3 linked regions of the Callithrix jacchus genome follow. The protein of the gene in region 3 interacts with the protein of the main gene of each other region in a pairwise test. Links are inferred from orthologs where the notes say so. Each region holds a gene or a part of one and is shown on either strand. Other genes may lie near its edges.

Region 1 (3,648 bases), on a different chromosome or scaffold from region 3:
AAACTGCTTTTGTGTTAGCCGAGGTCTTATTTGAACAAGCAGTTCTGAGTATCTGTTTCAACTTTTGGAAAAAGGGTGAATGAAATGCACTTTACAAGTTTGTTGTGTAGATCCAGTGAGGTGATATATGTGAGGGCACTTTATTATTTGGAAGGGTTTTAGCAATATAAAATAGTCTATATTTTTCTTTCTTTCTTTTCTTTTTTTTTTTTTGAGATGGAGTCTCACTCTGTCGCCCAGGCTGGAGTGCAGTGGTGTGATCTCGGCTCACTGCAACCTCTGCTGCCCGGATTCAAGCAATTTTCCTGCTTCAGCCTGCTGAGTAGCTTGGATTATAGGCGCCTGCTACTGTGCCTGGCTAATTTTTTTGTATTTTTAGTAGAGACGGGGTTTCACCATCTTAGCCAGGCTGGTCTTGAACTTGTGATCCACCCGCCTGGGCCTCCCAAAGTGCTAGGATTACAGGCATAAGCCACCGCGCCTGGCCTAAAATCATCTACATTTTTCTTAGCAATCAGTTTAATAAGCAGAGTTTCCTATTGTAAATAGCTTGGACTTAGGGTAATATTAAAAGTAGTTTGTCGTCTCAGAACAAAGTAGCTGTGTGGTGAGGGGTGTGTTGCATCTATTTCAGATTCTACAGTTTGTATAATTTCGTTGGTGATGTATCAGTTGGTAACCAGCTATTTCCTACCTTTTCCGAGCAAAACAGGAGGAAGGAAGGTTGAGGCTGTCGTACTGACCAGGTTGTGAATTTTGGAAAGAAATTCCTGCATTGAGAGGCATTTTGAAGTTGTGGAAATGATAGAAATACTTACTGGGTTTAATCACGCATGGAGGAGTCTGCTACTCTGGATCTCAAAAGTGCCACGACCGCTGTAGCCGCTGCCCAGAGGTTAGAAGAGGTTCTGTTTCGTAACCGCATAGTACACAGCACCTCCTGCGATGGGAGATGCTTCCTGCTGGGCACTGTGGCTCACGCCTGTAATCGCTCAGGAGGCCAAGGCAGGAGGATCCTTGAGCCCAGGAGTTTGAGACCGGCTTAACCAACATAGACCTTGTCTCTACAAAAGTAAGAAAATTAGCCCGGTGTGGCGGAGCATGCCTGTGGTTCCAGCCACTTGGAAGGCTGACGTGGGAGGATCTTTGGAGCCCAGGAGGTGGAGGCTGCAGTGAGCTATGATGGTGCCATGCACTCTAGCCTGGGTAACAGACTGAGACCTTGTCTCAAAATAATAAATAGGATACATAAATAATTTTTTTTTTTTTTTTTTAAAAAGGAGGTGTTCCTCAGCTCATTCCTACTGGTGGGCCAAGTTGGCACACCTTTTTTTTTTTTTTGAGACAGAATTTTGCTCTTGTCACCCAGGCTGGAGTGCAATGATGTGATCTGGGCTCACTGCAACCTCCACCTCCCAGGTTCAAGCGATTCTCCTGCCTCAGCCTTCTGAGGTAGCTGGGATTACACATGCCTGCCACCATGCTCAGCTATTTGTGTGTGTGTGTGTGTGTGTGTGTGTGTGTGTGTGTGTGTATATTTTTAGTTGAGATGGGGTTTCACCCTGTTGGCCAGGCTAGTCTTGAACTCCTGACCTCAGGTGATCCACCCACCTTGGACTCCCAAAGTGCTGGGATTACAGGCGTGAGCCACCTCGCCCGGCCACCTTTTTATAATTAAGAGGCTACTTTGAGGGCAGGGTTGGCTGGAGCCACAGAGACAAATATGGAAGGGGAGTCTGTATTTTTTTTAACCTTTTGCTCCAACAGTGGGGTGCAAGAACTGACCCATGGGCTTGTTAACACAGTGCTCTGAGCTCACATCGACTTGGGTGTAGTGTTTATGTACAGAAATGAAAGGCCTTATTTTTAAGTTCCTGCCTATGGGGATGGGCTCTTTCAGGTTAATACAGGTCATTTGAGGGCTTGTCTCAGTTTCTCCTAGTGAATTGGACTCCCTGATGTACTTTTCTGAACCTAGGGGTAGGAAGGGCAAGATGACCAATTACCATGAAAACAACTTGCCATTAAGCATGGGTTTCCTGTTCTACTGGCTGCTTGCTGTCAAGAAGGATTTGCAGTGAGAGTGAGTTTGCTCTGGACGGAGCTGGTGTGTAGCATGGACACGTCCCATTACACATCAATCACCCTGTGCTGTGCTTTCTCCTCCCCAGTTCTGACCTTGGGAGGGGCTGGACAAACTGGCTGCTGGTGTTCTGTTTTCCCAGGCTGGCTGGCTAGGCTTTCCAGAAGTTACCTGGATTCTTTTTTAATAAGTGATGAGCAGTCAGTGTGAGGTACCTGGGAAGCGTTGAAATGGATGGTGAAGTATCTGGGTCCTAGCACTGGCTGTCATTCACTAGCTGGGTAACCTTGAATAGGTCAGTTGGCCTTTGCTTGTTAAGGGAGAGGGTTTGATTAGATGCATGTCAGTTCCGCTCCTGATTTCATCGAGTAGTTACTGTATACAAGGTGCTGTGGGAGCTCAGGTCTGTGCCATCAGGATGCTGACAGCCTGCTTCAGGTGCATGCGGTGGCTGGGCAAAGTCTGTTCAGTGCCATGGGAGGGAAGGCCGTGTGTCCCTCGTGTGTCCTCTCCCTGGGCACAAAAAGGAAGGGCTCCTCCCCCAGGCTTGGAAGGCTCCCTGGAAGACGGGGCATCCAAGTGAGACCTGAAGGATGAGTGGGAGTTGGAAAGATGCAAGTGGGAGGAAAGGAGGCGAGTTCTTTGTGTTCTCATTCTGATGCTCTGCTTCTGTTCTCTCCAAATGGTTTCTCATCTCCGATAAAAGACAAGTTCTTCCTGATGTTTTAGTAGCCCTTCCAGTTGCCATTTTGGCTGTTGTGTGTGGGCTCTGAAGTATTGCTAGAAGTGAGAGTGAGGAGGCGTGGAGGAGACAGAGGGAAGGACCTGGAGGTATCCTCCCCGGGATTATTTGCTTTTGAATTCATAGAAAGCCACAACATTGGGTTAAGCTTGGGTGATGGCAGAGGGTTCATGGGGATGATGAAGGAGTCACGTACCTGAAAAGTGGTGCTTGTGGGTTCCAGGTGTCACTTTAAAGTGGACCTCAATCAACTGTGAGCCAGTTAACCCTGGGCATAGACTCACTCTGCTGGAGTACTGAGGTGGTCCTGCACAGCAAAGGGAAGGCGGTGCTATGGCCATCTGAGTCACCACCTTTATCCCGTCACAGCTCCGGAGCCACCCAGGTTCCTGGGTTCTTTTCTAAGGTTTTTTTCCCCCCATATTTGCTCTTTCTTTCCACACCATTTAACATATTCCTGCCCCGTGTTTTAGGTCACACTCAGCCAATACCAGAGAGAAGCAGAACAGAGTAACGCGGCCCTTCAGAGAGAGGAGAACAGAGTGGAGCAGAAAGAGGCAGAAGTCGGAGAGCTGCAGAGGCGTGTGTTAGGGATGGAGACGGTAATCGGGGATCCTGAGCTGCAGAGGCACGTGTTAGGGATGGAGACGGTCATCTGGGATCCTGAGCTGCAGAGGCATGTGTTAGGGATGGAGACGGTCATCTGGGATCCTGAGCTGCAGAGGCGCGTGTTAGGGATGGAGACGGTAATCGGGGATCCTGAGCTGCAGAGGCATGTGTTAGGGATGGAGACGGTCATCTGGGATCCTGAGCTGCAGAGGTG
Region 2 (3,748 bases), on a different chromosome or scaffold from region 3:
AGATTAGATTGCATTGGATTAGATTTGATGAGATAGATTGGTTTCGTGTTCAGGGTAACACAAGGTTAAGCAAGTAGGTTTTTTGGTTGAAGGTCTTCTCAGAACTTCCAGCATGTCAATATGCCTTGTCAACCTCTAAGTGGCAGGGACAGAGATTGGGGTACAGGTTTCTTACACATATTTGTTTAAGAAAGCTGCTTTTCTCCCCTAGAATCTTTTGTGGAACTTTTGCCTCACGGAACACAATTTCAGAAATAATTTATACATGATGACTGTATGGAATGTTTTTCTTGTTAGAATTTTCAGTTTAATTAAGGGCATTTTTTTTTTACAATGCATGGAAAACTAGATATGATATCAAGAGAGAAAAACATGCTTGACTACTTAGAATGATGTATTATTATTAATTGTGTTTTGTATTATCAGTATTACTATTCATTGTAGGGTATTTGTTATGCCCAATGCTAATATGCTATGGCTTGGTAAAATTAATTTATCCTAGGATTTATATAACCAGATTAATAAACTGTAAGTTGTAGAGCATCTTGGAATTGCTTGAATTGACACTAAAATATTTGTTTTGAGAAACGTATTTTTAACCTTGGTTTTACATAACTAAGGACATATACCATATTACAAATATTGTGGTGGTTTATTTTTCCAAACTTTTCAGAATGTGGAGTACCCATTGAGTAATAATTCAAATTACTAATGAATTTGTAAAAATTGGCATGAGTAGAATTGCAGAATTCAAAGATGATGGTGACGATTTTTGAAACTGATGTTTCTAGAGTTGTTAAATGATATATTAACTTGTGTTAACTGCAACTTCTCATGTTTAATGATGTTTACAATTAATACAATACCATACTCACCAGTATGAGACTAACAGTCATAATTAACTCAGAATAGATTCTTTGAAGGGGCTCAAAGGGCTTTTCATAATAAATAGCCTCTAATCAGCTAATATAAAGTGGGCATTTTTTAGGATGTGAAAAGTACTGGTATGTCTCATAAAACATATAATTTAGGTTAATAAAATGAGTTTGAATGATCCAGATTTACTACCCCAAGTCAGAAAGAAGTCTGACATTCCATTGAAAGCTTTATTTAGACAGAGTCAAGGAATCTCTGCGATAACAGGCTTTGGACTGTGCTATCTTAAGTGTTAGAGCTGGATAATTTTCCCAGAATCTCTAAGTCCTTTTTATGCTCTTTTATGAATGAATAGAATTAGTAAAAAATGAATAAATTTTCTCTTTTGGATTTCTTAACCAGTGGAAAAAATGTTGACTTGAAAAGTTCATGAAATCTAATTTTGCCTAAGAATATGTTATTTCCACTTGTGAGGCCAGCCCTGGTAGACCTCTGGGATTCTGTTCTGCTCACTGACACACCACTGAGATAAGGAGTGAAGTGTGGGCTAAATAGGGCTGAGGCATGGGTAAGGGCATTCCTGCCAGAGCACCAGAGACGTCAGCATCTCAAGGGCACTGGTACGCAAAAGGACGCCTATGAGTAGATTTTTAAAAATATAAGTATTTTAAAGGGTAAAAATGAGGGTCCCTGTAACTGAGGATGTAAAATATGAAACTGAAGAAGAAAAAACAGGGGAAGAAGAAAATGAAGAAGACCAGGTGAGTGAGAAAACATGTACTCATGATCAACGTTTTATTCTCTAAATTGATGCTGAGAAAAATGTTTCCTTTCCTTTTTTTTTCCCCAATAGGTCTTCTATAAGCCTGTTATTGAAGACCTAAGCATGGAATTGGCCAGAAAATGCACGGAACTCATTAGTGATGTAAGTGGCTAGAGTAATTTCTCTCTTAATTTTCATTGCACCTGTAGAATTATGTTATAGAGGCACAGAGCTGTGGGGAAACCCTGAAATCAGCATTTAAAACACAGTCACTTTCCAGATCTTAGAACAAAGTCCTAAAATTTTAAGTGATTTCCCCAAGGTCACCTATACAGAGAATTTCTGCTAGAGCAAGTTTCCTCATTCTTAATCCAGAATCCTGTCCCTTATGAGTTTTGCTGTCACTCTGGCATGAAATCATAAGGTATTGAATTGCAGTATATATTCCATTTGAGAACCCCCAAAGACTTTAAAATGAATAAAATGATGTAATTTGTCTTGGGAGGACCTCTATCTAAATGAGTAGTCATTTTTAACAATTTGGGGCCTTCTGAAGTATCTAATTAATGCACCTGTCTTCCAGAAGAGGAAATGTGTGTATGTATATGTGTATGTGTGTGTGTGTGTGTGTGTGTATATATATATATATATATATATATATATGCATATAATATTTATTTACAATTTTAGGATTTATGGATTACTGAACTGTTTGCTAAGAACCCTGATCTAGGTAAGGATATTAGTGCAAGGGGCATTTTTGTTGTGACATTTTTTAGGAACTGGGATCAGTCATATTACATTTCAAGGGAATCCCAGAATTATAGAATGATTGAACATATTATTTTATGATAAATATGTAAGCTAGAATTCAAGAAGTACAAGGAAAAATGTTGCTTACTAGGGATGATAATTTAGTTCATCCCTGTTAACAGTTCTAAGAGAATTAGTGGTTCAGAGGAATGGTAACCCCTGTAAAGTGAATATGTGCCTGTGTCTTTATTTAGAGAGATGAGCTCAATACTGGTTGTTTCTGTTGCTGATAATGAGCCAAGTGATTGGAATGTTTAACAAATGTTTGTTTTCAAAGGAAGTCAGTCCTGGGCAGGAGGGCAGTGGGCTGGCATGTCCTCCAAAGTCAACCTGCCCGTGTTGACTCCACAGTAACCTTGGGAAGGTTATGTAACCTGGCTGGGCCCCATCCCTCAGCTGTAACACTTATAAGAAGATTAAATAATGGTAGTACATCTAAAATGCTGAATAAACTATGTGGAACATTGTGAGGACTCCTTAAATGTTAGCTGTCATTAACTACTCTGTCTGTTACTTACTTTTACATCCAACCAATCACAGTTTAGATATGGCTGGCTCTTTCTGACAAACCAGAGGGCAGCACAAAGGATGGTGGTGGAAATCATACCCCTTCCCATATATTTGACATGTGTTGTAATTGTGCTTTAAATTAAGTATTTCTTTATGCTATTACTTAATAGTCATTAGCTACTGTATGTGAAAGTTCTTTGTAAATTGCAGTAATAATGACAATGACCAGCAACAATTACAATACTGGCAACAGTTTTTAAGATTTAGTGACTACTATGTGACAGGCATTGGATCATGTGAGGGAGGCACTATGTGTTTTCCCATTTTTCAAGTGAGGAGATGGAGGCACAGAGAGGTTCAGTACCTTGCCTGAGTCACACAGTTAAGCAGCGGCAGTAATATTTAAACACAAATATTACTCTTTACTCTGCCATGTTATCTCACTGTAGATTTCCATGAAATGTTGTTCTTTGATTTCTTATTATTTATTATATAACTATTAGGGGTAGCAATGCTACCAATTAAAACCCTAAGGATCTACCCTCTTCCAGCTTTGATCTGTTTTTATTGAAGTGCAATTATAGCTGAGCTAACTTGTGTTACATAAACTGTCAGGTCTAAAGTGGTAACTGTAGTTAGCAGGTGGTTCTCTTGGAGTTGTTTTGGATAAGATTGTTTATCAATGACTTTAGAACCAATATGTTGTGAAGGGTAGTGGTCTTTATCATTTTGCGAAAGCTAACACCATATATTTCACACCCATGTAGGTAAAATTAAACAGATAGG
Region 3 (3,748 bases):
ACAAGGAAAGGTCCACCAGATCCTCCTCCTCCTAATCCAGAGCCTGTGCTCTCTGCGCCCTCCCAGTCAGGCCCCACCCAGCAAGGCCTCTCTTCTCCAGAGGAGCATTTTCTTACCATTGTTTGTTTCACCAGGCTAACCCTGCAGGATAAGAATTCCTATCCCACCAGCCCTATGTCCATTCTGACTCTCCAGTCACCTTCGTGCTGATGCTCTGGCTCCTGACTCAGTCCCGCCCCAGTGCCCGGGTCCCAGCCTTGTCCTACCAGCATCCCTCACCTGGTTTTGGTTCTGAGCCGGTGGGGGCACAGGGTGCTGCTTCTCCTGCACTCGGGGCTTCTCCCTCTGCTGAGCATAGGTGAAGCTGGGAGGTTGAGGGGTGCCTGTGCCAGCAGAAATAGCTTCGGAGTGCCCCAATTTTTGATTCGGCTGTGACCCAGGTCCACCTGGGGCTCCAGGACTAAACTTGGAAGCCACAGGAGTAAACTTAGGAGTCACTGGAGAAAACTTAGGGGCTGGTGCCGGAGATGGGGCTGGGGAACCTCGGGGTTGAGTGTTAGCCAAAGACACAGGCTGGGGCTGGACATGAACCTGAGGCTTAGCCTGGGGCTGGGGCTGGGGTGGAACAGGGAACTGTGTCTGGCTCACAGTGGGAGCCTGGGGCAGAGGCTGGGAGCTGGAAGGGGCTTTCCAAGGAGGCAAGGGTGCTGTGCCCCCGGCTGTAGGCTTAGTACTGGACTTAGAAACGAATGGAGTAGCCACTGGTGGGGGCACATATCCAGATGACACCTGCAAGGGGAGGGAGAGGGAAGAGAGATGCAGTCAGGAGAACACCATCCTCCATAGCTCTATCCCCAGTCTCTCTGGCCTTGGACCCTGCTTTTCCTACTCTCTGTTCCCTTACCCGGGCTTTGAAAGGGTCATTTTTGGTCATGTCATCCAGCAGTGAGGACAAAGAGTCGATCTCCAGGTCAATACTGCTCACCTTCTCCCTGGGCTAGAGGGTCAGAGGTCAGAGCACCTATTCCATGCCTCCACCCCCCCTCCCCCAACAGGGCAGAGGTGCAGAGGAGGTAAGAAGAAAGGACCTTCTCCTCTCGTTGGGGGTGTCCTGGTGCGGCCGCCCGTCCCAGGTCTCCATACCTGTGGTGGGAGCGGTATGGGGGCTTCAGGCCCTCCGTCCTCCTCCAGCGGAGGCGGCGGGGAAGGGAAGATCTCCTCCTCCAGAGGCGCAGGGGGAAACGATTCCTCGATGGGGGGAGGGGGCGGCGGGAAGGCACCTCCCAGAGCACCCTCTGCATCGTCGCCATCCCCAGCGAGGGGAGGTGGGGGTAGGGGAAAGTCTGGGGTAGGAAGAGGAGAGACGTCGGCCGGGGTCCGTCTACCCTCACCCAAGCTCGGTTTACCACTCTAACCCCTGACCCAAGAACTCTTGGGGGTCCCGGAGCGTGTGGGAAAGCAAAAAAGGGGCACAGGGCACCCTGAGAACACCGGGTCAGGAAAGGCCAGGGGCATGGCGGAGAAGTGGTGCAGCTCCCGTTACACTTCGGAAAACGGACCCGGAGGGTAAGATTCGTGGCCCACATTCCCGCCTCCCACCCCCAGGCGGGGGACTTGGAACGGTCCCAGGAGCCCTGGCTCCCAGCCACGAGCTCCACGATGAGGTAAGAACATCTGCTCGGGACAGGGTGGCTGCGCCCAGCCCCCTCGGCAACAACCTTTCCAGACATCCCCAAATTCCCGAAACTACTGCCCCCCACCCCGGCGCCTGCCGAGGTCCAGTCCCCAAGCCCCGCTGCATACCTTCCGGGGGAGGCGGGGGGACCTCGCCGACCCGGCCCATCTGTGCGCGCTGGGCCCCAGGCGCCGGGGAAGGCTCGCTGTCCCCAGGCCGGAAGGGATTCACTTTGGGCTTTGGGGCCACCACAGGGCCGAACTTCTTCTGCGGGGCGTAAAAAGCCGGAGCCGAGACCGAAACGGAGATCGCAAGAGACGGGCGGGGGGCCGCCATGGCCAGGCCGGGCTGCTGGGGTGGGACACCGGGTTACGCAGCGCCGAGTCCGGTTCAGGAGCCCCCGGCGGTCCCAGCTGCTCTCGGCGACCCCCACGCGCCCCCTCCCGGCGCCCCGCACCCCCTCTCCGTGGGGCCGCCCGGCCGCTCCCAGCGCCTCACCGCGGGCCGGAGCGTGCGCGCCGCGTCTCGGGTGGCCGCCTCGGCGCCGGGTCCGCGGATTCTGCGTCCCGGTCCGGAGCAGCCTCCGGCCGGGCGGGGAAGGACCCACGGAAGGAGGAGGGAGGGAGGAGAGAGGGGGCGGGGAGAGAGAGGCGCCCAGACCATACAAGGAGCTGCCCGGAGAGGGGGCGGGGAGAGCGGGGAAGGGCGGACCAGGCAGGAAACACCCCCAGGAAGGGGCCCGGATCCTGCCCCAGGCCCGAGGCTCCGCCGAAGTCCGGCCCCGCAACCCCACTCACAGCCGCCCCCGCCACCCCGGCCCGGCTCGGACCCCAACTCCCCGAGCACAGGCCTCTGATGTCATTTCCTGACCTGCCCACCCTCCCCGCCCGACCCGCGGGCGCCCGAGATCTGACTCACGGTCCCCCTCCGGGCTCAGCGGCGGAGGTGGGGCGGGTGCCCCGGAGGTAGCCACGCAGCCCCTGGGCGTCTCCGGCTGGGCCCAGCGACCAGCCCTCGGACCTGCCGTTACCTGGTCCCCTCCCGCCACCACCCGCTACCCAGGCACCTCTGAGTCAGCCTGGGGTGCCGGACGCTTGCAGCTGGGCTCTAGGGTGTAAGGGGATGGGGGATGAGGAGCCGGGCGTTCTTCCTCCCGGCACCCCCCCCCCCCACCGATTCCGTGCCCGGAGTGGGTGTGTGAGCCGGAACCTCCAGCATTCTCCGGGATACGAACTTCCAACTCTGGGTAGCCCCTTCAGGCTTCTAGGAATTCGCATCCCCCGCGCCCCCGCCAGAGGATCGGTTGCGAGAGGGACGGTTCGGGCCCGCGGGGCCAGGAATGGAGGTGGGAGGGCGGAGGCGGGGCCGAGGTGGCGGCCACCTGCGGACTGGGGACCGGGAAGAACCGACGCGGTAGCGGGCTGCCCCTCTGATGGCTCTTCAGTGCCCACCACGACCCACTCTAGGAGACCCCGGGCGACGCTGGGGCTCTTGGGCATTCTGAGACCGCGCCTGGTGGAGCCCCCCACTGGTCCGACCGGATTTCTCAGCTTGAGACTCAGCTCCAGGCTACGCGAAAGAGACCGGACCTGGGGTAATTCTTCTTGCAAACTAAGGAGTCAGGGCCTTTTGCCGCTAGTGCGATATGTACCCCTAGGCGCTTCTTTTCCTCTCCTCCTGCCAACTTTTACTGCCTTCTGAGGCACTCCTCCTGTTCACACTAAGTTTCCACTCCCTCCAAATCCCGCTGCACTCTACTGGCAAGGAGCACCAGGGCCATGTTTTAGAGATCATCCAAACTAACCCCAAAAGTTTATGGAGAGCAAGGCGAGGCTGAGAGCTGAAGAGATGGACCCGGGTCACACCCAGGTAGGGGCAGAGTCTAAACTGGACCTGGGGTCAGAGCTGGTGGCCCTGCACCCCTGATACCAGGTCAAACGACACTGACAGGATAGAGCAGAGCGAGGTCAGAGTGTGAAGATCCTGCCTGATGCTCAACTGACATCTCTTCATTCTCCCCGGCTCCATCTGTAAAAGTCACGGTTAATCCATCTACTGTTGCATTATATGGAG

The links.
Region 1: the proteins of ZYX (region 3) and TUFT1 interact in binary tests that used the Homo sapiens proteins (3 or more experiments, as listed by UniProt). The link is inferred for Callithrix jacchus from reciprocal best matches to the Homo sapiens genes ZYX and TUFT1.
Region 2: the proteins of ZYX (region 3) and NEBL interact in a two-hybrid assay, tested with the Homo sapiens proteins (2 studies listed by BioGRID and IntAct). The link is inferred for Callithrix jacchus from reciprocal best matches to the Homo sapiens genes ZYX and NEBL.

What each region holds. Positions count from the first base shown.
Region 1 is NC_133519.1:11,478,325-11,481,972, forward strand, and holds part of TUFT1 (tuftelin), read left to right. Parts: intron 1-3,298; coding exon 3,299-3,648. UniProt on the Homo sapiens protein: Involved in the structural organization of the epidermis. Involved in the mineralization and structural organization of enamel.
Region 2 is NC_133508.1:21,477,766-21,481,513, reverse strand, and holds the start of NEBL (nebulette), read left to right. Parts: upstream 1-1,452; 5' UTR 1,453-1,556; coding exon 1,557-1,637; intron 1,638-1,729; coding exon 1,730-1,801; intron 1,802-3,748. UniProt on the Homo sapiens protein: Binds to actin and plays an important role in the assembly of the Z-disk. May functionally link sarcomeric actin to the desmin intermediate filaments in the heart muscle sarcomeres.
Region 3 is NC_133512.1:104,124,048-104,127,795, forward strand, and holds the start of ZYX (zyxin), read right to left. Parts: upstream 2,239-3,748; 5' UTR 2,174-2,238; intron 2,027-2,173; exon of another isoform or gene 2,024-2,026; 5' UTR 2,012-2,023; coding exon 1,804-2,011; intron 1,344-1,803; coding exon 1,144-1,343; intron 998-1,143; coding exon 905-997; intron 790-904; coding exon 280-789; intron 1-279. UniProt on the Homo sapiens protein: Adhesion plaque protein. Binds alpha-actinin and the CRP protein. Important for targeting TES and ENA/VASP family members to focal adhesions and for the formation of actin-rich structures.